Linked DNA regions of Elephas maximus indicus. The protein of the gene in region 2 interacts with the protein of the main gene of each other region in a pairwise test. Links are inferred from orthologs where the notes say so. Each region holds a gene or a part of one and is shown on either strand. Other genes may lie near its edges. The genes, in order: MAPK8IP1 and LRP1.

What was found.
Region 1: the proteins of LRP1 (region 2) and MAPK8IP1 interact in a two-hybrid assay, tested with the Homo sapiens proteins (2 studies listed by BioGRID). The link is inferred for Elephas maximus indicus from reciprocal best matches to the Homo sapiens genes LRP1 and MAPK8IP1.

The regions. Positions count from the first base shown.
Region 1 is NC_064825.1:101,360,479-101,371,305, reverse strand, and holds the start of MAPK8IP1 (C-Jun-amino-terminal kinase-interacting protein 1), read right to left. Parts: upstream 4,546-10,827; 5' UTR 4,439-4,545; coding exon 4,338-4,438; intron 1-4,337. UniProt on the Homo sapiens protein: The JNK-interacting protein (JIP) group of scaffold proteins selectively mediates JNK signaling by aggregating specific components of the MAPK cascade to form a functional JNK signaling module. Required for JNK activation in response to excitotoxic stress.
Region 2 is NC_064822.1:117,049,013-117,060,262, reverse strand, and holds the start of LRP1 (prolow-density lipoprotein receptor-related protein 1), read right to left. Parts: upstream 4,316-11,250; 5' UTR 3,918-4,315; coding exon 3,782-3,917; intron 1-3,781. UniProt on the Homo sapiens protein: Endocytic receptor involved in endocytosis and in phagocytosis of apoptotic cells. Required for early embryonic development. Involved in cellular lipid homeostasis.

The DNA.
Region 1 (10,827 bases), on a different chromosome or scaffold from region 2:
GCAGAGCCAAGGGACAGAGATGGTGTCCTAGGGTGGGTGAGAACCCCTAGGTGGGAATGCTGGCAGTGACCCAGTTTGTAGGACCCATTGAGGCCCCAAGTTGTGGGTTGTGGCCCATTCCCAGGAATCCAAGACCAACATTAAGGCTCTGGCATCAGAGAAATGAGTGAAATCCTACAACTGGGTCACCCAAGGATCACCAACCTCAAATTCGGCAGGGCCCCAAATGCCTTCATATCCTGGTCCACCAAATCTCTCATCTCCCCTAGGCCATCCCTACCCCCACTCTCGAAGGGGCTCCGGCATTATCCCGGACTCCTGCCTCTCCTCCATCCCTTATGTCCAATTTCTCACCACGTGGGTCAACTCACCTCCTGAATCTTCCTCACATCTTCTCCCCGGTCCTCTTTCTCCCCTGAGAATGACCAGTCTCCCAGCTGGCCTCCCAGCCTCCTCATCCATTCTCTACCCAGCAGCCAGAGTGATTGTCCCCAAATATCAATCTGATGCTGCTGTTCCCTGCCTAAACCCTTGCTGGCTCCCGTTGCTTGTTGGTGAAAAGGCCAGGGTCCTAACAAGGCCTACAGGTTCCCACTCACCTGGCTGGCCACACACCCACCAGGCTGGGCGTCAGACACACCCTGCCCCCACCTGCTTTCCCTGGACTCTTCACATAGGCTGCTCTCCCCTTTTCATACCCCCACCCCTTTCACACAATGCTCAGGCTCCCACCAAGCCTGAGCAGAGATCTCCCTTTCTCTGGGGAACCTCTGAACCTTCTCTTGAAACACTCAACATGACCTGACCTGCGTCATCATGGCACCCACCAGCTTGTCTGGTAAAGTCTTGTCTGTCTGTCTGTTTCCCCTCTACACCGTCACCTGTGTGATGGCCAGAGCCCATGTCTGTGCCTCTAGAGTGCCTCCCCAGTGAGCCTGGCAAAGTACAAATATTTTTGGAGAGAACAAGAACGACCAAGTACCAATAAGGAGGTCCCTGGTGACGCAGCTGAGCATTCAGCTACTAATTGAAAGGCTGGCAGTTCAAATGTACCCAGAGGCACCTTGGGAGAAAGGCCTGGCAATCTACTTCCAAAAAATCAGCCACTGAAAGCCCTACCGAGTGCAGTTCTACGCTGACTCACGTGGGGTCTGCATGAGTGGGAATGGACCTGACAGCACCTGGTGGTGGTGTCAGCTCTTGGCAGCCTCATCTCTCATCCCCAAGGCAGTGTGGTGGGCTAGCAAGAACGCCATCCAGGGAGTTCTATCCCAGCTCTGCCACTAACTTGCTGTGTGTTCTCAGGAAAGTCCTCCCCCTCTCTTGTTTCCTCATAAGTAAAAGGACTTCCCTTGGCCTAGGGTTCCCCTTCCACACACCCAATGCAGTCTGCTGACTTTACTCTCCGTGAATACCCCTTTGTCCCTGCTGTTTCTGCCCCCATGGGCCGTCCCTCCCCTTTATTCCACCTGTCCAACTCCAACTTATCCATTGTGTAAATCTTTTCGAGAATTTTTTATAGTCAACTTGTATCACTTTAATTTTAAATTTTCATTTATTATTTTGTAAGTTACAAAAGTGACCCATGCTCATTATTAAAAAAAATAGTAATAATACAGAAGTATGTAAAGTAAGAAGTGAAGATCCCTCACCTGATACCATAAACAGGAGAAACTACTAGTAATTGGTTGGAGCAGTTCTCTAATCACACACACGCCCCCAACATGTTTATTTAAAACGACCACCAACAAACAAATGTTCCCCATCCTCCTAGGTCCACATCACACTTACCCCCTCCACTGTGGAAGCTATGATGCTGAAAAGGTTTCAGCAGAACTTCCAGACTAAGAGGGACTTGAAAGAAAGGCCTGGAAATCTACTTCCAAATCAGCTGATGAAAACTGTCTGATCCGCAAGGGATGGTGGGGACGGTGCAGGACCGGGCAGCGTTTCGTTCCATGTGCATGTGGTTGTCATGACTCGTGGGGGCCAATTCAGCGCTAACAACAACACTCGTAACATTCAGGTATTGAGCCCGCATGCCTTCTGGGAGCTGACGGTGCTGCTGAGGGCCCAGACGCACGCACACACACACACACACAAAACAGCCCCACATCCATACGGCTCTTCATTGCTCTTGAAACGCTCAACATGTAGTGTCCCAACTGAGTCTTAGGGCTGCCCTGAGAAGGGGTCAAAGCAATGAAGAAGCAAAGAAGAAACAGAGGCTTGGTGGGGTTAAGTGCCCCATCTTGGGGCACTTAGCTAAGAAGGCCAAGCCAGGATTCAAACTCAGCCCAGTTGGCTCCCTCACCCCAACAAAGAGGCCCAACAGCACTAACTGCACAGGGTTAAATCGAGCTGGGCCAAGGGCTGTGAGAGGCGGGACAAGGGAAAGGGCAGCAAGGGCTGTTGGAGCAGGCGGGGCAGGCCTTGAGGGCCTGAGACACAGACCCCTATTATTCACACAAGCTGACCTTGTCTTCACAGCCAGGCCATGGTGTCCTGGAAGGCCAGGCCCACGCCTCAGCCTTATTGCATGCTGCCACCCTCGGCCCACATGGCCCGGAGCTGGACACACACTCACTGGCTGGCGTCCACCCCATCAGCTGTTTGCACTACAGCTTCGTAACAATCTGTCTGCCAGGGGGCAGGGCAGGGATGGAAAACACTGGTACCTGGGGAGCAGAGGCCGGAGGCAGGACCTGGGGGACAGCGGATACGTACACACAGACCTGGGGTCCCTTCCAGCCTCGACCTCTGCCTATCTCAGGATCCTTAGGCAAGTCACTGTGCCTTCCTGCAACTTAATGTGCTCATCTTTACAACAAGCATACCAATACTCACTCACAGGGTGGTCACTAGGGTTAAATGAGCCAACACTGGGGAAAAGCTCTGAACAGTAAGCTGCTACAGAAATGCCTCCAGACACTTATTGAGCACCGACTCGATATCCGTGGTCTCGTTTTTACGCAGGGATTAATATTAGCAGTTAGGACTTAGGACAAAAATCATACAGTTGGTGGTGCTAGAATTGGAACCAAGACCCTTGGCTCTAAGTGCAATGCTCCTCCACTGCCGAGGGGCCCCCGTCTGGGCCAGCAGTGTTTCCATGGAGGCAATGTGTGCCACGGCAGGTGGAGTCTCAGCCTGAGGCCCCACTGGTCTGAAGGCGCTAACCACAGAGCTTGGCCTTCTCCATCTGGTCCCCTTCCCTCTGGTTTTCTGGCTCAGCCCCGGGCCTCGGCTCAGCTCCGGGCCTCAGGGGAGGTTCCTGGCCCTGATGATGCCATTAGAGATCCCCAGAGGTCCTGGCCCACCTGAGGGGGCCAGGGAGCCAGCCATCTTCTGGTCAGAGGGGCTGGCGCCAGAGCCCAGCTGGGGCCCGACTGGGTTAGGGGCCCCAGGAGAGGTGGAGGCACAGGCTCATTATATGGAGAAACAATGGGATTTGCCTAAGCCCCTTCTACTAGGCTCTGGAGCAATTACACCCTCCTCTTCTTCCCAAGTGAGGTCAGGATTATGGGGGAGGGGCATCTATCCTTCCTCCCAAGAACACTCACTTCAATTCTCTGAAATCTCCCTCCTAGCGGGTAACACCAGATTGCGGGGAGGGGAGAGGAGGGTTGGAGAGGGGGAGTTCAGGTCAGGGTCTGGGTACTTATCCCAGCAAAGGCCTCCCAATGTCCCTGGCTCCTCCTAGGCCCTCCAAACCAGAACACCCTCCCAGAACTGGGCCTAGGATCCCGGGGAGGAGGGGGGGCGGTGGCAGGGAGGGCGGGGAGGGAGGAGGATTAGAGCCTACTGCTTGCCGAAGTCCACAGAGGGTCCAGGCGGAGCCAGACCTGAGAGTTGGGCCCATCTGGCCAGGCAGGTCTGGGGAGGAAGCCCCGACTCCTCCTTCCAGCACCAAGGTGGTCAGCTGCCCCAAGAAACTGGGTCTCACCGGGCACACCAGCCTACTTCCATCTCGGTTCAGAAGCCTTCGGATTGGGCACAGGCAAAGTTCCAGCCTACGTGCCTCCTCCGGGATCACAATCCAGACCTAGGTCCAGCCGCAGCCCCAAGTGGGGGCGCAGGCGGCCTCTGAGCCCCCTCCTCCAACTCCAGCTCCGGATCTCCTACCCTCGAATGTGGAATGGCGGAGGGAGCTGCACCATGAATATGCAGGGGCAGTCTGGACTGGAGGTTGAGGGGGACTTGGGGTGGGCTCCGTACAGTGAAGAGACTCCTGTGCCCAAGCCGCCCTCTCGCTCCCGGGGTCCGGTGTGTATGTGGGGGGGGGGGCAGATCTGTACCGGCTGAAGGGTGGGGCGCGCGAGACTCGGGGTTCTCACCTGAAATTGGGAGGCGACGCGATGTGCAGCCCCAGGAACGGAGAGGCGGCAGGCGGGGACGCGGTCCCCCCGCCCAGGCCGCCGCTCTCTCGCTCCGCCATTCTCGGGCCCAGCCCTGGCCATCCGGGCGGAGCGCGGAGAGGAGGAGGCGGCGGCGGCTGAGAAGGTGGTGGCGGCGGCGGCGGCGGCGGCGGCGGCGGCGGTGGCGGCGGCGGCGGCGACGGCGGCGGCGGCGAAGTAGGCGCGGCTAGGGGGCCGCCACCCGGGCTCCGGCTGGGCGGGCTCGCGGGCGCACCTGCGCAGGGCAGGGCGCGGCTCCGGACCGCGCACCGCTCGGCACTGGAGAGAGCGCCCCCGCGCGCGCCCCGGGCCCTCGCCGGGGTCTCGTGCGCCCCGCCCCCTGCCCCGCCCCCGGCACGCCGAGCCCCGCCCCGGGGCGCTCGCCGAGGTGCTGAAGTCGCCCCCCCCCCCCCCCCCCCGCTTCGGGGCCTCTGGGTTTGGCCTCGCTCCGCCCTAAGTTTGATGCTGTCCCTGTGCCCCACCACAAAGCCTCCCTGGGGGCGGGTCTAACGCCCAGGCATCATCAGGTAACTAATGACGGGCCCCTTAGTCCCCAAGGCCCTGGTTGGCTCCCCCGCAGCAGACAAAGAAGGCAGGAAAGGAAGGTCGCTGAGAAAGGAGAGAGGGTGGTGAAGAGCAGAAAGGTTTGGAGTGACGTGGCGTGAATTCCCAGTGAATAGGCGGTGGGGCGTTGCATTCGTGACTTGACAGTCCTAAGGTCTGGTTTTCTCATCTGTGAAATGGGGACATTAATACCACTCTCATGTTTATGAAAATACAACGTAATATGAATGTGTTGTCACCCGAATCCAGGCGACACCCCTCTCCTGCACTAGGATCCAGGCCTCTCCCCATTCCTGTCCCTTTACCTTGTCCCTCTCCTCCCTGAAGACTGGCCCCAGGCTCTCTTCAGCCCCAAACAGCTACTAAAGGTGAATTGAGTCCTTCCTCTTGGCTTCTCAGTCCCTCAACTTCCCCTACCTTATGTCAGGACTTGCCCAGCTTTCTCTTTCTTCCCATTTACTGCCTCAATTGCATTTCCTGCAAAGCACCTCTCTTTTGCCCCCACAAATACCCCATAGCTGGCTTCTCTCACTCTAAGACTTTGGGCCTTTCCCTCTGCTCCCACCTGTTGTCTTCCTGGGATTCCTTTGGTTAAGTTTCTGTTCCCTCCTGCACCTCTGCCCCTGCCAGGTTTGGGCTGTGGTTCCCTCCTGATCTTCTCTCCCCTCAGAGGGCTAAGCCTTGACCTGCAGGCCTTATGTTCCCTGCTTCTTTCACAGCAGAGGCTGTTTGACACTTAGGCCAAGACCACGGCCCTAGCTTTGGTGGGTCATAGAGCTTCTGGCCAAACCTCACTGGCTTCTCTAGCCAACTGAGAGAACCACACAGGTCCTGTCCTTCCCCTCCTTGGAGAAGGGGCAGACAAACTGTTTCACAGCTTGAGGAATCCTATTTGCAAATCTGGACTGCCAACTGGTCATGCTGGCCTCTTTTCTTCCAATGTAGCACCCAGAAAGGAGCTGCAAGCACTCACCTTGCAATAAACAACCTTTCAGCTATAGCCACAACATTCCAATACCTAGAACCAAAGGCCCTGGCTGCTTCTCTTCTCCTTGCCCCTGGGGCCCAGACGGGTGGCCACTTTACCTCTCCCACTATCTTGGCCCAGGCCCCTTTCCCTAGGTCTTCACGTTAAACATCTGCTGCTGTGTTGCCTGGCTTTTCCTTCCAGGAAAGCAGTCTTGCCATCATGGGTAATAATTGTTCCTTAAAGTATGTGGTTGTCTCAGCTATGGAGGATGGGAAGGTCAGGAGTGTGTGTGTGTAGGATAACTCTCTTCCAGAACCTTCTACCCAAGAACAAAGGAATCTTAGCCTCAGGGCCAAGCCAAAGCCACATTAGACAGAAACCAGGAGAAGGGAAGGACAGGCCCAAGTGTTGATGGGGAGACAGCAAGAGCTTTAAAACAAGGCCAAGAATAAGATAAGCCCCAGGGTTATGTTGCTCCATTTTCTCCCTTTCTCACTGCAGGGCAGACTGTGACATCCCTGGGCCTTCCTGAAGTCCCTTCCCACAGGGAGTTGGTATGGGGGCTACCAAAGCTCCCAGCCCAGTGGTCCAATCCAGGGCAAGTGTCCCCAGCAGGAAAGCCCATGCACACTGCACAGAAAGGGGCCACTCTCTGGCCACATGGCATGGGGGAATGCCAGCATCCAGACTCTGGGCATAGCTATGGATAGTTCTTGACCATCTACCCACACAGCTCACTGCACAGCTGCAGCTGAAGTGGTGGCACTGAGGTAAAGGATGGACTGAGGGCCTGAAGAGGGCCTGCCACCATCTTGGGTGGGGGGGCATAAGGGGCTGACAGGTAGGGTCACCACAGGACAGTACTCAGGAACCCCATCCTGCGCTGGACTGCTCAGCACCATTATGGCCAAATGACCCCAACACTGAGCACCCTGCTCTGGAGCTATCATTGGTCTGCTGGGCTGCTCACCTGGGACAAAGGAGGGGCGAGAGGCTCTGGCTCCAGCAGGATCAAGATGGTCTGGCTAAGGTCTCAGCTAGGCTCAGCCTTACCAACCCCAGTCCCCAAACCTCCCACAAAACTGACAACAGCACAGCTTTGCTTTGACAGGATCAGATGTTTATAAAACGAGTGCATGTTCACAAACAAACCGTGGGAGAAACACACCTTCCCAGCAGTAGAAAACCTCTGTATAAAGTGCATTTTGCCTGCGACCATCTCTTCCCCATGCTGGCCCTTGGATCAGGGTTTGCATCACTCTGTGGCACCCCCAGTGCTGCCCGAGCTAGAAGAGGGGAGACGTGAGGCCCCGGTGGAGCTCCAGGCCACTGGCTGTACCCTCTCCGCCCCGCCCCTCCAGCTCCAGGGGTGGACTGCCCCACCCCACTGCAAGGTTGTCCTGGGGGTGGGCCAGCATGCGAGGGAAGGTGGAGAAGCAGGGGGTGTGGTCCCGCCCGACTTGTGCCTTAGGGGAGAGAGCCACCATTAAGTCATCAGTACCATCAAACCATCCTGAGGTTTGAAGGTGCTGCTAAATAAATACTGATTTTGGCCCTAAGCCCTTGGGCATCCTCCATGTCTCAGATTAGCCCTTCCAGGCTCACTCCACTCCCCTTCAGGCAATAGCCCCTGATTCTCTTTCCTCCTGGCTGGGACTGAGGGAAGCCCTCAACCCAGTACTCTGAATACACACCAGATGTGTGCCCTACCCTCCCCACATGATTACAGGATATTTCTAGTAAAGGTGACATACAACAGTTGGACTCTAAAGGCAGCTCTCTGGCTGAGAAAACTGAGGACCTCTCAGGAAGAAGCCTGTCAACATGCTGGACAACTGCAGGAGACAGGGGCATGACCCCAGGGCTCTGGTCTGGGGACAGAAGACATCGAGGGACAGGGCAGGGGCCAAGGGCATTAACAGCTATGAGACTAGGAAAGGTCACAGGGGAGGTAGAGAGGAGAAGGCCAAGAGGCCAGCTTAATGTTACACGTGAGGACAAAAACCCAAAGAGGAATCGGCCTCTCAGCTACACAAGCACGTGTATGTACGCACGCGTGCACACACAAAGGCACACACAGACACACACACGAACTTTGTGGCCGAAGTGCAGGCCACAGCGTGGAAGGAAGACTTGCTCCAGCTGACAACACAGTCCTTTTCATTAAGTGTTTCTCAACAGAGGCCTTCGACAGTGGGAGGGGAGTGGTGGGCGGCACTGGCCATTCCCGTAATGCGAGGCTTGACTTCTCTGGGTCAAACCTCCCACCTGATGCTTCTGGAAGGGTTGGTGTGTTGGGTATGATCTCTAGTTTGACCTCTGCCAACTGCCTCTGGCAGTCCCCTGAGTCCATCTGCCTGGGTTCTTGGAGTCCAGCTACTGGGACAGCTGACATGGCAGCTTGGATGATATCCAGTGCGGGGTAGGCCCTGGAAGGCTCCAGAAGAAAGACTAGAACGGCCTCCATGGCTGGGGGTCAGCTGTCCTCACTGGTGGCACTGTGGTCTTGGAGTGGGGCCACAGGGGCTGGGGCTCTATGCCCCCAGGAACCTGGCCTCCTCATGGAGAAGGCATGTCTGCCCCTGCCCTCCCCAGCTCCTGGATAAGCTCCAGGCTGGCTCTTAGCTTCTGGGGAAGTACAGAGCTGGAATTCTCTTCCTAGCCTTGGGCTTTCAGCTCTGAAAAGGCAGCTGTGCTGGCTGAGGCTGCTACCTACAGTCTGCGTACATCCCACCAGGCAAGTATTGGGTATCCTTCCATGTGCTGGTTGGTGGGAACTTTTCAGAGCTATCATCTGTACACAGCCTTGTGCTCAGTCCCACGTACCCGAGGAAGGGTCTGGAGGACCAGAGCAGGGGCTTTTAAGATGAGAAAGGTGCCAGACCAGGTGGCTAGGTCTGGACGGCATCCATCCACTCCAGTCTGCTCAGCCTCCAGGGTCAAAATGCAGAACTTTGCAGGGCTCTGGCTGCCTCTAGAATCCCATACTCTTGACAAGAGCCAAAGATGTTGCCTTTCTGCTCCTTGGCCTGATGTGAGGAGGGTGAACTGAGGAGGCAGAAGCCAGAATCCCAGCTAAGATCCTACCACTATGTTCCACTCAGACCAGGCTGTTGGCTGGCAGGGACAGGTCTCAGCTGTGACATCTAGCCTTGTGTCTGGAGGCAGGCACAGCACTCGAGGTGAAGCGTGCTGCAGGGACTGCTCCAGCCCAGGCAGCATTCAGAGTCACAGAGTGTAAACAGACACATGCACACACAAACAGCACACCACTCCCCCTGCACAGGCGCACACAACACACGCACACACGTCTTTGCGAGCTCTGTCAGCGCCGGCTTGCCCGCAGGTTGCACTCTGCTGCCACGGTGGCTGCCCTGGCATCCAGGCTTGGCTCACGGAGCAGCGGCTCTGCAGCTGGAAGAGAAAAACAAGTGTCAAAAGAACATTTAGGAGGCTGCTCAGTTGCCCAGGGACACCAGCTCCTCTGGCTGCTTCTCTAGGGACACTCAGGCTGGGAACTGGGAAGTCCCTAAATAATGAGCTGCAAGGGCCACGGGACCAGGGATGAGGCTGTTGCTGGGATGCCACTGGACTGACTGCACACTGCCCCTCTGAAGTGCTTAGACAGGATCTGCTGTCCCCTGCAGACCCTCTGGGCCACCTCTGAGGCACAGCTGAGGGCAGCCAAGGAAGAGGAGGAAAAGGTCCCCTGAGACTCACCTGAGGCCTTTGGTGACACTTGCTCAGATATGACAAGGGCAGTGTCTCAATCAAGACACAGGGACTGTTGCCAGAAATGGAGAATCAGAAAAAAATAGCTGGAGGGGAGGCTAGCTGGGAGAAGTCATTTTGAAGAGGAAGGCAAGGACTGAGTATAGAATCAGCAGGTGAGCAAATTTCCACATACAGATAAGAGAGGCCTGGTGCAGCCCCGCAGGATGGCTGGGAGGGGGACAGGAGACACCAGATGACTCACTGGGAGATTTATAACATCCGGAATCTGGGGCAGAGGAAAGAAATGGCCTCATCCCTGATAACAGACAACAAGGTAAGCCCGTCATAATGCTGGGTGCCTATTTAAAACAGGCTTAGTGTGTCTGGGATTCTGCAGACACACAGTGCTCCATTAAAAGGTTTGTCCAGTTTAAATTTTGATGAGGCAGATAATAACATCACATCTGCTCACCGAGCCTACCGTGGGCCAAGCGCTGTACACCTGTGACCTTATTAACCCTGAAGATACGGCCTCCAATTTTATATAGGAGAAAACTGAAGTGCAGAGAGGATAAGTAACTTGCCCAAGACTAGAGCATTCGTAAGTGCCAGAGCCCATGTTTTTACAAGTAACCTCTCTCTACAGTATCACCCACTAAAGCCTTTACTGGAAAACCAAACCCAATGCTGTTGAGTTGATTCCGACTCATAGCGAACCTACATGATGGAGTAAAACTGCCCCATAGGGTTTCCAAGGAATAGCTGGTGGATTCAAACTGCTGACCTTTTTGGTTAGCAGCTGAACACTTAACTACTGGCGTCACCAGGGCTCCCTAACTCCTATAAAAACTAAAAACAAAACCCGTTGCCACCGAGTTGACTCTGACTCATAGCGACCCTGTAGGACAGAGTAGAACTGCCCCCATAGAGTTTCCAAGGACTGTCTTGTGGATTTGAACTGCCAAATTTTTGGTTAGCAGCCGTAGCACTTAACCACTATGCCACCAGGGTTTCCAACAGAGGACCTAAAATGAAGAAACTCAACATGATGGCACAAAGACTAATATCTAAGTAATGAAAGTGGAAGTTAAGACGTCACTGGAAAAGGGAAAAATGTCCTTAAAGAGTCAAAGACACTGGGCTATCCAAGATACAACAATTAGTCCTAATTGTTTGGAGCAA
Region 2 (11,250 bases):
CCCCTAAGACTCATATACCTAGCATATACCCCAGGCTGAGGAGGCAAAATCCCTGGCCTAGGAGTGCCTGACCCAGAGGAGACTCAGAATAGGTACCATAGGGGTGGGAGAGAGGGAGGAAGGGAGGAGGGCTGGAGCCCCTCGGCCTAGGAGGGACTCTCATCTCCCTGCAGAAGTCAGAGAGATGACTGCCCCCTCCATCTTTCTCAGGGTGGCCTTACACTGGGACCTGGGGCCACTGCTCCGGAAGCACTCCAGAGCCAACTGCTTCCTTCTCCAAACAATGCAGGATCCTGCTAACCCAGCTGAAATCTGGGACAGAACACGATGGGGGAGCAGGTTCCCTGAATGCTCATACCCGGTTGAGGATCTCTGCACAGCCCCACTCAACTCCACCCGAGGGTAGTGAGCCCCACATCCAGAGATGGAGAGTTTGAGGGTGTGCGAGAGGACCTTGAGAAGATAACACCGAAGGGGGATAAGCCCTAGGCCTGGGGGCTCTGAAGTGCAAAGGCTGACACTACAGCATGAGGGAAGAGAGTTAGACTTGAAGGAAGGGCTTCCCCAAGGTAAGGAAGGTGCTTTGAAGAATGGGGGATTTGGCTCTAGCCAGGGTCCTGGCTGACATCCTTAGGAGCCACAGTGATGGAGGAGTGGTTGAGGGCAAAAAAATATGGAGAAAATGGAGGGAGGAAGAGCAGGACTGGAAGAAAAGAAAAATTGTGGAGCAGTCTCAAACATCAAAATATCCCTTCAATCCCAAAATTAACAACCTATACATCCCTGCTTTGGAAAACGAGGCTGAAGGGGGATGTTCAAGGATTTGGGTCTGGTCAAGGGAAAAAGGGGCTTGGGACATCTCTCGGGGAGCCAGAAGGCTAACACCCTAGCCTCCAAACTCACTTCAACTGTACACCTTGCCTGATCACTGGTAATAAACCTGCTCAAGGGGGTTTTGGAGACAGGTAGGGAGAGAGGGTGGAAGCCGACCTTCTTCCCTATGTCTGGCTGCCTAAGCTCAGCTGGGCCCTCAATACTCTCTCTTCCCACTCCCCACCCCATCTCTTTCTCATCTTCTTCAGTAACAATTGCACTCAATTTTGTCTACTAGTGGGGAGTGGCATTGCTCCCCAGAGAGAAAGGGGTTCCAGGGGGTAGGTTCAGACCCAGAAGATAAGGCCAAAGCAAGGTGGGGAAGGCCTCCAGGACTGCTCCTATGGGGGGAAGGCAGCCAGACCTGTGACAGAAGGAGGAAGGAAGGTTAGACACTAGGTCAGGTAACCTGGGGTCAAGAGGTTTTCTTCTGTAGAAAGCAAAGGAGAAAGTTCAGTCTCTGTAGGCCTGAGGCATGAGGGCAGGAGTATGGATAAGGGGATCCTCTAGGCTACTCCTGGATAGAGTTGGACTGTGGTATAACCCACTGCTGTCAGTCGATTCCGACTCATAGCGACCCTACAGGACAGAGTAGAACTGCCCCATAGAGTTTCCAAGGAGCGCCTGGCGGATTCGAACTGCCGACCTCTGGGTTAGCAGCCATAGCACTTAACCATTACGCCACCAGGGTTTCCGACTGTGGTATGGTTCTGAGCAATTCTGAGATTCCCATCCCCCAGAGTGAGGTGGAACTGATTTTTCATATTTCCATTTCCAAGATGAGGCTATTAGTGGGTATCTGGGAAGAAGTCCTCTCCTAGGACTTTGGATAGAGTTCAGTCTGAGCAGGGAATACAGAGGGGGGCTGGGCAGGGACTTTAAGGAAGGGTAGGGTCGCTATGAGTTGGAATCGACTCGATGGCAGTGGGTTTTTTTTTTTTTAGGGAGACAGTAAGGAGAACATGTCCAGTCTCCCTCTTCTAATATCCACCAGCCAACTTGGTGTGACAAATATACCCGCTTTAGAGCCCTGTTGCTATGAGTTGGAATCGACTTGATGGCAACAGGTCTGGTTTTGGATTCAGAGCCCTGGGAGTGAAGCTACCTAGGGCCCTTCCTGGCTGGGCCAGGGACCTTTTTGTGCTTTCCACAGAGACTCCCTTGCTTCGGCCCAACTCCATCCACCCTCCGTAACAGGACTTCTGATGTGTCTGTCTCTCTTTCTTAAAAAAAAAAAAAAAAAATGTTTTTTCCACCCATTCCCAGACACTCCTGCACCCAAATCCCTTTACCTCAGTTTGTCCCTGTGGGGTGCCACAGGGCTGTGAACAAGAGAAAAGAACAGGCATGAAGGAGGGAGTCCTGAGTAGGGGCTGGCACTCGTCTGCAGGGTATTCAGGGCACAGCCTCTTCCCTTCTCTTGGGCACATAATTGAGGTAGATGGGGTGGGGGGGAGCAGACAGACAGTCCCCAAGATGGCATAATTGAGGGCCACTGAATATACCCTTCTTTCTTTGCACAGCTGCTTCCTGGCCCCAGGAACTGATGAAAATTGGGGGGAGGGGAGGAGAGGGAGAGATAATCTGGTTTTAGAGAAAAACTTTCCCAATCCCAACCTGGCAAAATTTAAAAGATGGAGGAGGGGGTGAGTGGGGGAAAGAAGGGCTGTTTCTAGTTACAGGCAGATACTGGGCCCAGTTTCATCCCTGGATGAGGGGGCTAAGATGCCAGGAAGGGATGTGAGTCCATCCTTTCTCAAATCAGGGGCCCAGCCCAGCCCCATGGTCCCAGCTGAAAGCTTGGGCAAGACTTGAACCAGTGACTCACAAGTAAGAGAAAAAAACAGCTGGCAGAAAAAGGGGAGGGGTAACTCCCTTTTCCCTAAGGAACACAGTTCTAGCTTAAGCCTAACTCTCTGTACTATACAAAGTGTGTGTGTATGGGAGGCAGAGAAGTAAATAAACACATTTACCAAAGGACAGGGAATTAGAGGGTGGGGGATAGCCGTAAACCCCACCCAATCTCCAACTCTCCTTCTAGTGCAAACTGTGATCAAGCAGAAGTCAGGAAGAAAGCAGCCTTGCAACACCCCCCCCCCCACCCCCCGCACTCCAGGCCATTCTCTAGTCCCCTTCCCCAATGATGACATCTGACTTTTTTTTTTTTTTCCATCTCAACGCTCCCAGGAATTATTAAAGAAAATTCAGTCACATAGCATCGCCTGCCCCCCCACTCCGCCCCCCAACACAGCCCTACCCAGGCTACTGACAGAGGCCCTGAGAGGGGGAAGTGCTGAATCCAGAACCCAGGAGGGTAGGTAGCCCGTTGGATCCTGGACCCAGGCCTCCATGCCTGGGCTCTGGGGCCCAGATTCCACACCCAAGCAGGGGGCCTTCCCCGTGGTCCTCCCTCTCCCCACCCACAGCTTTCCTGGGCCTGCTAGCCCTCTGCCCAGCAGGACGCCCCTGGCCCAGATCCCCGGTGAGCTTCAGAGGCCACTGCAGAAGGTCCCCCGCCCCCTTTTGCTGCCGTATATCGCAAATCCGAATTCCTTCACAATTCAAATGGGGGGGGGGTGTATGAAGGAGAGGTGGAGGCCCTCCCCGACCAGAGATAGAAAGAGAAGGCCTCTCGATCCCAGGATCAGAAAGGGGGAGCCCTCTTCTCCCTATCCAGGCCTATGGCCTTTGTCTGGCCTGGGGGGTCCTGGAAGCATCATTTGCCTAGGGCCCCCATCCCCCAAATCAGACCCCCATCGGTGTCCCCAGTGGGGCCGCTGCTGTGTCAGCTGGACTGGGATAACAAAAGGCACCCCCTCCCGCGTCTCCCTTCCCCATCCGTACGCAGGAACGGGGGCTGGGGAGGGGGTGTCCCCAGGGGTCCCGGGGGCCGCGGAATCTCACTCACCGTCGATAGCCGCCGTGACCAGAGCTGAGAGCAGGGGCAGCAGCAGCAGCCACGGCGGGGTCAGCATGGTGCGGGCTGATGTAGGCAGCAGCCCCCTCCCCTCCGGTCCTGCTACTTCTCGCCTTCGCCCCCCCATTTGGGGGGTCCCCCTTTTTCCTCCTTTCCCCCCCTCCTCTATTCTTATTCTTTCCTTCGGCCAAGCTCACCAGGGGTGTGGGTGAAGAGGCAGAGTTCGGAGCCCCTTAGAGAGGGCCTGCTGACGGGGGTGCGCCCAGTGCCCCCAAATCCAAACCCTTCACCCACTGCTTTTCTCCTCGCTCCTCTCTCCCCCTCCCCGGGCAAGCTCACAGCCCCATCTGAGAGCCGCCTCCGGCTGCAAAAATGCACAATTGGGAGGAGGCGGGGGTGGGGTGGGGGGCGTGGACCGGGTGGGGGAGCCTTTGGAAGGGGTCTGATGGAGCTCTGGGGGCTCCCCTCGTTTCCGCCTCCTCAGTGCACTGGCCGGGAGCTCGAACCGCTGTTCCCCGGCCTGAGGTGCAGCGGGGGGGGGCCAAGGGGGAGAGGGAGGGGACGTGGAGAAGAGGGAGGGAGGGAAGGGGCGGGGAAAGAAAAGGGGGGGGGAAGAGCTACGCGGCAATCCGGTTAGTGCGCATGCGCGGGTTTGGCGAGCTGCCCTGGGGTGGGGGCTCCATAGGAGCAGCAAGACTTGGAACTCTGAGAAGCGGACGGAGCGTAGGGGTCCCGGGGCCAGCTAGCCGGCTTGGGGTCCACAGCGCCCTCTCTCCTAACAGAGCGCGCCCCTGCGGAGAGCTGGACGGGCGGAGGGGGGATTGGGCAGTGGGCGAAGAGAACGGCTTGTCTTTGAAACTCGGTGTCGTGCCCTAGGATTTCAGGCTCCCTCTTGGGGGGTCCAATATCCCGTGGTCTGGGGCGAGGCCGGATTTCCTCGGGGAACCCGGCCTGTGCCTTCTCAGCTTGGGGTGGGGGTAGGGGTGGGGGTGGGGGCGGGGGTGGGGGCGGGGGTGGGGGTGGGGGTGGGTGTTGGGGCCTCCAATCCTCGGGGAAGGTACGGGGACAGACTGAGCTTTGATTTGGAGACTTTCTAAACCGGTGACTGGGATTGGGGCCTGCAGCGGAGGGGGCGGGGTGGGGGAGGGGCCGCCCCCACTCGCTCCCGGGTTTGGAGTAAACAGGGACACCCGCGGGGACACGCCAGAGCTTGTCCATTCACCTAGGGCTCCGGGATGGAGCCCACCTCAAGTCCCGCTCCGCCTTGCTTGCCTGGCACCGGGCGCCGGAGGGGCAGGCCCTGGTTTGGAGGGAGGTGAGTCACTAGCGGGTGGGGTTGAGGAAGGGCCACCCCCCCTTGCCCCAAGATATGGGGGCTCGTTTATTTTTTTGTTTTTATACCTTTGGGCTGGGTTCTCACCAAATCGGGGTTTTAGATTCTGAGCAGCAGAGATTTGGAGTAAGATGAAGAACTCTGGACCTCCAATTCCAGGCCTCGGGGTGCCTGCTGAGGGCTGGACCTTTGTCCCGGCCCTGATCCCTTACGGGAATGCTACTTTGAGTCCAGAAGGCGCCAGGCGGTTCCCAGAGCCCGGCGAATGTGCTTCTGGCCACCGCCCCCTTCTGGGCGATGTTTAAAGCTGTGGTGTCTGACTTTCTGGGTGTCTGGAAGTCAGGGTTCAGGGACCTAGGGCAGGCGACTTGGACTGCCAGAAACTGACTTTAGAGATAAGGGACATTGGACCACCCATCTTCCTAAAATTCTAGTCAAGGAAGGGCCCCAAACCCCCACTCCAATCTGCCCCTGGCTGAAAAGTGAGCATCGTGGAGGACTTGGCTGTTAATGACAGTGGGAGGGAGTGAGAATCTCGACTTTTCCCCCAAGCCTGTGCTGCTTCTGGGCTTGCTTGGCTCGGCCATCCTCACCCGTCTTTAGTCACCTAGGCTAGAAGCCTCAAAATTATTGCCAACTTCTCAGGGCCTTTCTTACATCCAATTGTGCAAGCCTATGTTCAAGGCCTGTCATTTTTCCCTTTGAAATCTATCTATGATTTCCTCCATTTCCACTTCCAGACAAAGTTTTTCTGGGTAGAGGTGGGGTCTTACCTATCCTTTTATCCAGCCCTCATGGCCCAGCGCTGTGCCAGGCACACGGCAGGGACTAACTAAATGTTATTAATGAATACCTGCTAGGTTCCTTCCTCTGCCAGGGCCCCTACCAATATTGTCATCCAAGTGAAATTAGGTTAAAATAGGCTTCAGGCAGCTTTGAAAGTAAAAAGATACCTGGAGTGACCATAGGTAGCCCCAGGGGGCTGTGAGAGGGCAGTCTCATTCCCCCTCCCCTCTGTCAGTCTTCCTAAAATTCTGCTTTCCTGTCTCTCTTCCTTGTTGGTAAACTTCTGCTGGGTATCTGTAGACAACTAAACCAAATGTGAACTTTTCTCCCAGACAGTCATGGTGTAAAACCTGGCCTTGGCCAGCCTGTAAGACTTTTCACTTTTTACCTCCCAACGTACCCCAACTGCCATCTCCTGAATGTGAATGTGTATTCATTTTTATGAACTTTATGTTGTGAAAAAGAATGCATGCTTCACTATTCACAAAAGGTGAATGTCCATCCAGAGATAGATGAATGAATAAACAAAATGTGCTGTATATATATACAATGGAATACTACTCAGCTATAAAGGAAAATAAAATCTTGACACATATTACAACTTGGATGAACTTTGAAAATGTACTGAGTGAAATATATCAGTCACAGAAGGACAAATATTGTATGGTCCCACTTATATGAAGCAGGCAAATATATAGAGACCAAAGTTTGTTGGTGGTTACCAGGGGTGGGAGTAAAGATTGGAGGTGGATCCATTTCTTAGGGGACACTGAGTTTCTGTTCATGGCAGTGGAGTAATTTGGAAAAGGATAGTGGTGATGGTCATACAGCATAATGAACAAAATCAATGTCACTGAATTGTACATGTAAAAATTGTTGAATTGCCAAATGTTTTGTTATATATTTTTTTACCACAATTTAAAGATATAATACATGCTTAGTGGTTAGAACAACCCAGAGCATAGAAGGGTACAAGGTGAAGAGTAAACTTGCTGCTTTCCACATTACCATTCTTGAGCCCCACCCTCAGAGTAACCACTACTAACAGTTCCCTGGGTATCCTTCCAGGAGTTTTTAAATATATATATAAATGAATATCCTTAAAATAATACAAATGAATTCATACAATATATACTGTTCTGTAACTTGCTTTTTCAACAAACTTATCTTGGTCCCTTTACACATAGTATGTATATGTCTTTCATACTATTTATATCTGCTATTTGGAATCTGGAAACCCTGGTTGCATAGTGGTTAAAATGCTATGGCTGCTAACCTAAAGGTCGGCAGTTCAAATCCTCCAGGTGCTCCTTGGAAACTCTATGGGGCAGTTCTACTCTCTCCTGTAGGGTCACTATGAGTTAGAATCGACTTGATGGCAATGAGTTTGTTTTTTTTTTTTTTTAATTTGGAATCTGCTTACTTGGGTACCCCAATCTATTGAGATTGGTTGGCATTTGGGTAATTTCCAGTATGTGAAGTGCTGAGGTGTCTCTGTGAGATGAGAGAATGCATATTTCTACCTGAGCCTTTAATTATACTGTTTCCCCAGCTTCCCCTCAGAAAAGCTCTCTTGTTATTCTCGCTCTGCCCATCTATTGTTTTTCAAACTTGCTCTCAAGATAGCCTGAGTACTCAGAGTTTAGCACTTAATTATGTGTGTCCTATATCCACCACCAAAGTATAAACTTCTCGAGGACAGGGACCATGTCTTTACTTCTTGGTATCCACTCAGTGTTAGGAGTTCTTGACTGATCCGTGGGGAGCCTGTCAAGAGTGTTAGAACTAGGGGCACCTGCCCTGGTAGAGGAGACAGCCATTAATAACTATTGTCGAATAGGGTATGACTGGAAACCCTGGTGGTGTAGTGGTTAAGTGCTACGGCTGCTAACCAAGAGGTCGGCAGTTTGAATCCACCAGGTGCTTCTTGGAAACTCTATGGGGCAGTTCTACTCTGTCCTATAGGGTCACCGTGAGTCAGAATCGACTCGACGGCAGTGGGTGGTGGGTAGGGTATGACTGTAAGCATTTTGCTTCCTCATGTTTTCCTATAGCACTCATCTTTCAATTCCTCTCTGCCTTAGTTTCTTCTCTTTCTCCCCACTTCTATTCTTAAGAAACTTTTCCTTTTATCTTCAAACCCTTGGGTTAGATTATACAGAAAATAATGGGATATCAGGGAAGAATTCTCTGCAATCCATAATCAGGATACCTAGAATGGTGGCAGTGGGCAAAGAAGTTGATGTGGGAAGAGGATATCTCCTTTTTTTTGGATCCTTCAGCAAATTTTTCAGCAAATTATTAAACATCCCCCTTTCTTCATTGAGGAAACCCTGGGTTGGTAGTAGTTAAGAGCTTGGCTGCTAAGCAAAAGGTCAGCAGTTCAAATTCACTAGCTGCTCCTTGGAACCTTATGGGGCAGTTCTACTCTGCCCTGGAGGGTCGCTGTGAGTTGGAATCCACTGGATGGCAATGGGCTTGGTTTTTTTTTTGTTGTTGTTTTTTTCTTCTTCATTGAGTGTAACATTGCCTGGGATGGGGCATTAATAGGGCAGCTCTGGGAGTGTCAGGCCAGACTGTCACCACCTAGTGGTCAGTTAGAGAAGTGTGATTAGGAAGGCGTATCTCTGAAGGATCTGGTAGAAGGTGGGGAGAGAAAAGAGAATGAAGATTTATTGAATGGTTACCATGTGCCAGGCCCATATAATAGATTTTACATGGAAACCCTGGTGGCATAGTGGTTAAGAGCTATGGCTGCTAACCGAAAGGTCGGCAGTTCGAATCCACCAGACGCTCCTTGGAAACTCTGTGAGGCAGTTCTACTCTGTCCTACGGGGTCGCTATGAGTAGGAAGCGACTCAGCAGCAATAGGTTAGTATGGGTGAGTTAGCTCACTGAAGTCTCAAAGCCACCTTGTGACATAGGTGTTATTTCCAGTTCGTAGATAAGGAAATAGAAGTTCAGAGAGATTAAGGAATCTGCCCCAAATCACAGTGCAGATTTGAGCCCAGGTTTCATTCATTTAAGAAACATTTATTAGGTACCCCGGATGTGCCAGGAGGCACTAGGGATATGAGATGGAAACACAGTCTCAGCCTTCAAGAAGCTTACAGGATAGTGGGGTTGCTCTATAAAAAAAGGTGATTGACAATTACACTAAGTGCCCTAATGTCTATGTTAAAGGCATGCATGAGACCCATGGGAATCAGGGAAGCACACCTATTCCAGATAAGGGGATCAGGGCAGAGCATGGCAGATGATGCCGGGGTAAAGGTTGAAAGGGAGGAAGGAAATAAAAAAGGAGGAAGGAAACAGCAAGTGAAAACAGAAGGAAAGGGTGTTTTAAGCAGGAGGGCAGGCAAAGATACGGAAGCATGAGGAAGCTTAAAACATTTGAGGAACTGCAAATATGGTATGGCTGAAGTTTAACATACTTATTGGAGAGGATGATGGATGAAGTGTCAGGGACCCTAATCACAAAGGGCCTTGTGTGCTAAACTAAGGACTTAACATTTTTTTCTAGAAGTAGTGGGGAGCCAGGTGAGAAATCGATGTCTTTAAAAATTCTTGCATCAGTGATAGAGTTGGAGAGGAAGAGAAGGATTCTATAGACACTAAGGAGGGTAGGATCAGGTATACCATTTGGTTTTTCATTTGTGCCTAGAGCGGAGTGACAGAGAAAGGTTTAAAACTTTGGCTCACATTAGAATGTTCTCAGAGTTCTCAAACTTTGGCTGCACCTTAGAGTCACCTGGGGAGCTTTTAAAAATCCCAGTGCTTGATTAGGTAGTAGATAAGAACTACTTTAGGTGAAGGGAAGGATAATACTCAATACACAGAAGGTCGGCTCAACTGGACTGGACCAAAAGCAAAGAAGTTTCCGGGATAAACTGAATGCTTTGAAGGTCAGCAGAACAAGGGCGGGGGTTTGGGGACTATGGCTTAAGGGGACTTCTAAGTCAATTGGCAAAATAATACTATTATGAAAACATTCTGCATCCCACTTTGAAGTGTGGCATCTGGGGTCTTAAATGCTAACAAGCGGCCATCTAAGATGCATCAATTGGTCTCAACCCACCTGGATCAAAGGAGAATGAAGAACACCAAGGTCACACGATAACTATGAGCCCAAGAGACAGAAAGGGCCACATGAACTAGAGACTTACATTATCCTGAGACCAGAAGAACTAGATGGTGTCCGGCCACAACCGATGACTGCCCTGACAGGGAACACAACAGAGAACCCCTGAGGGAGCAGGAGAACGGTGGGATGCAGACCTCAAATTCTCATAAAAAGACCAGACTTAATGGTCTGACTGAGACTAGAGGAATCCAGGTGGTCATGGTCCCCAAACCTTCTGTTGGCCCAGGACAGGAACCATTCCTGAAGACAACTCATCAGACATGGAAGGGGATGGACAATGGGTAGGAGAGAGATGCTGATGAAGAGTGAGCTACTTGTATCAGGTGGACACTTGAGACTGTGTTGGCATCTCCTGTCTGGAGGGGAGATAGGAGGGTAGAGAGGGTTAGAAACTGGCAAAACAGTCACAAAAGGAGAGACTGGAAGGAGGGAGCGGGCTGACTCATTAGGGGAAGAGTAAGTGGGAGTATGTAGTAAGGTGTATATAAATTTATATGTGAGAGACTGACTTGATTTGTAAACTTTCACTCAAAGCACAATAAAAATTATATTAAAAAAAAAAATCCCAGTGCTGGAGAACTTATACTAGTTGACTTTAAGACTTGTAAGCTACAGTAAGCAGGACGGTGTGGTACTGGCATAAGAATTCACAGATCCCTGGAACAGAATAGAGAACTAGAAATAGACTCACACTTAAAGGTCATTTGATTTTGACAAAGGAGTCAAAGTAATACAATGGGGAAATGCATGCCTTTTCAACAAATGGCTTTAGGACAACTGGATATCCATATGGGGGAAAAAATGAATGTTTTCTCATACCTCATACCATACCTGAATTTAATTCAAGATGGATCATAGACCTAAACCATAAAAACTAAAATCATAAAGCTTTTAGATGAAAACAAAGACTATCTTTATATCTTTATGACTTAGAGGTAGCCAAAACCATCCTAAGTTATAGAAAGCAATAACCATAAAAGAAAAAAACTAATAAAACATCAAAATTAAAAACTTTTGCGCAAACTCAAAAGGTTAGATACGAAGCTTAGGGAACAGTGAGTTTATGCCATTGAGGGAGGAAAAATTTGGAAAAAGGATGAGAATGGTTGTACAACTTGAACCATATGACCAATGTCACTGAATTGTACTTGTAGAAATTGTTAAATTGGTATGTGTTTTGCTGTGTATATTTTCAAC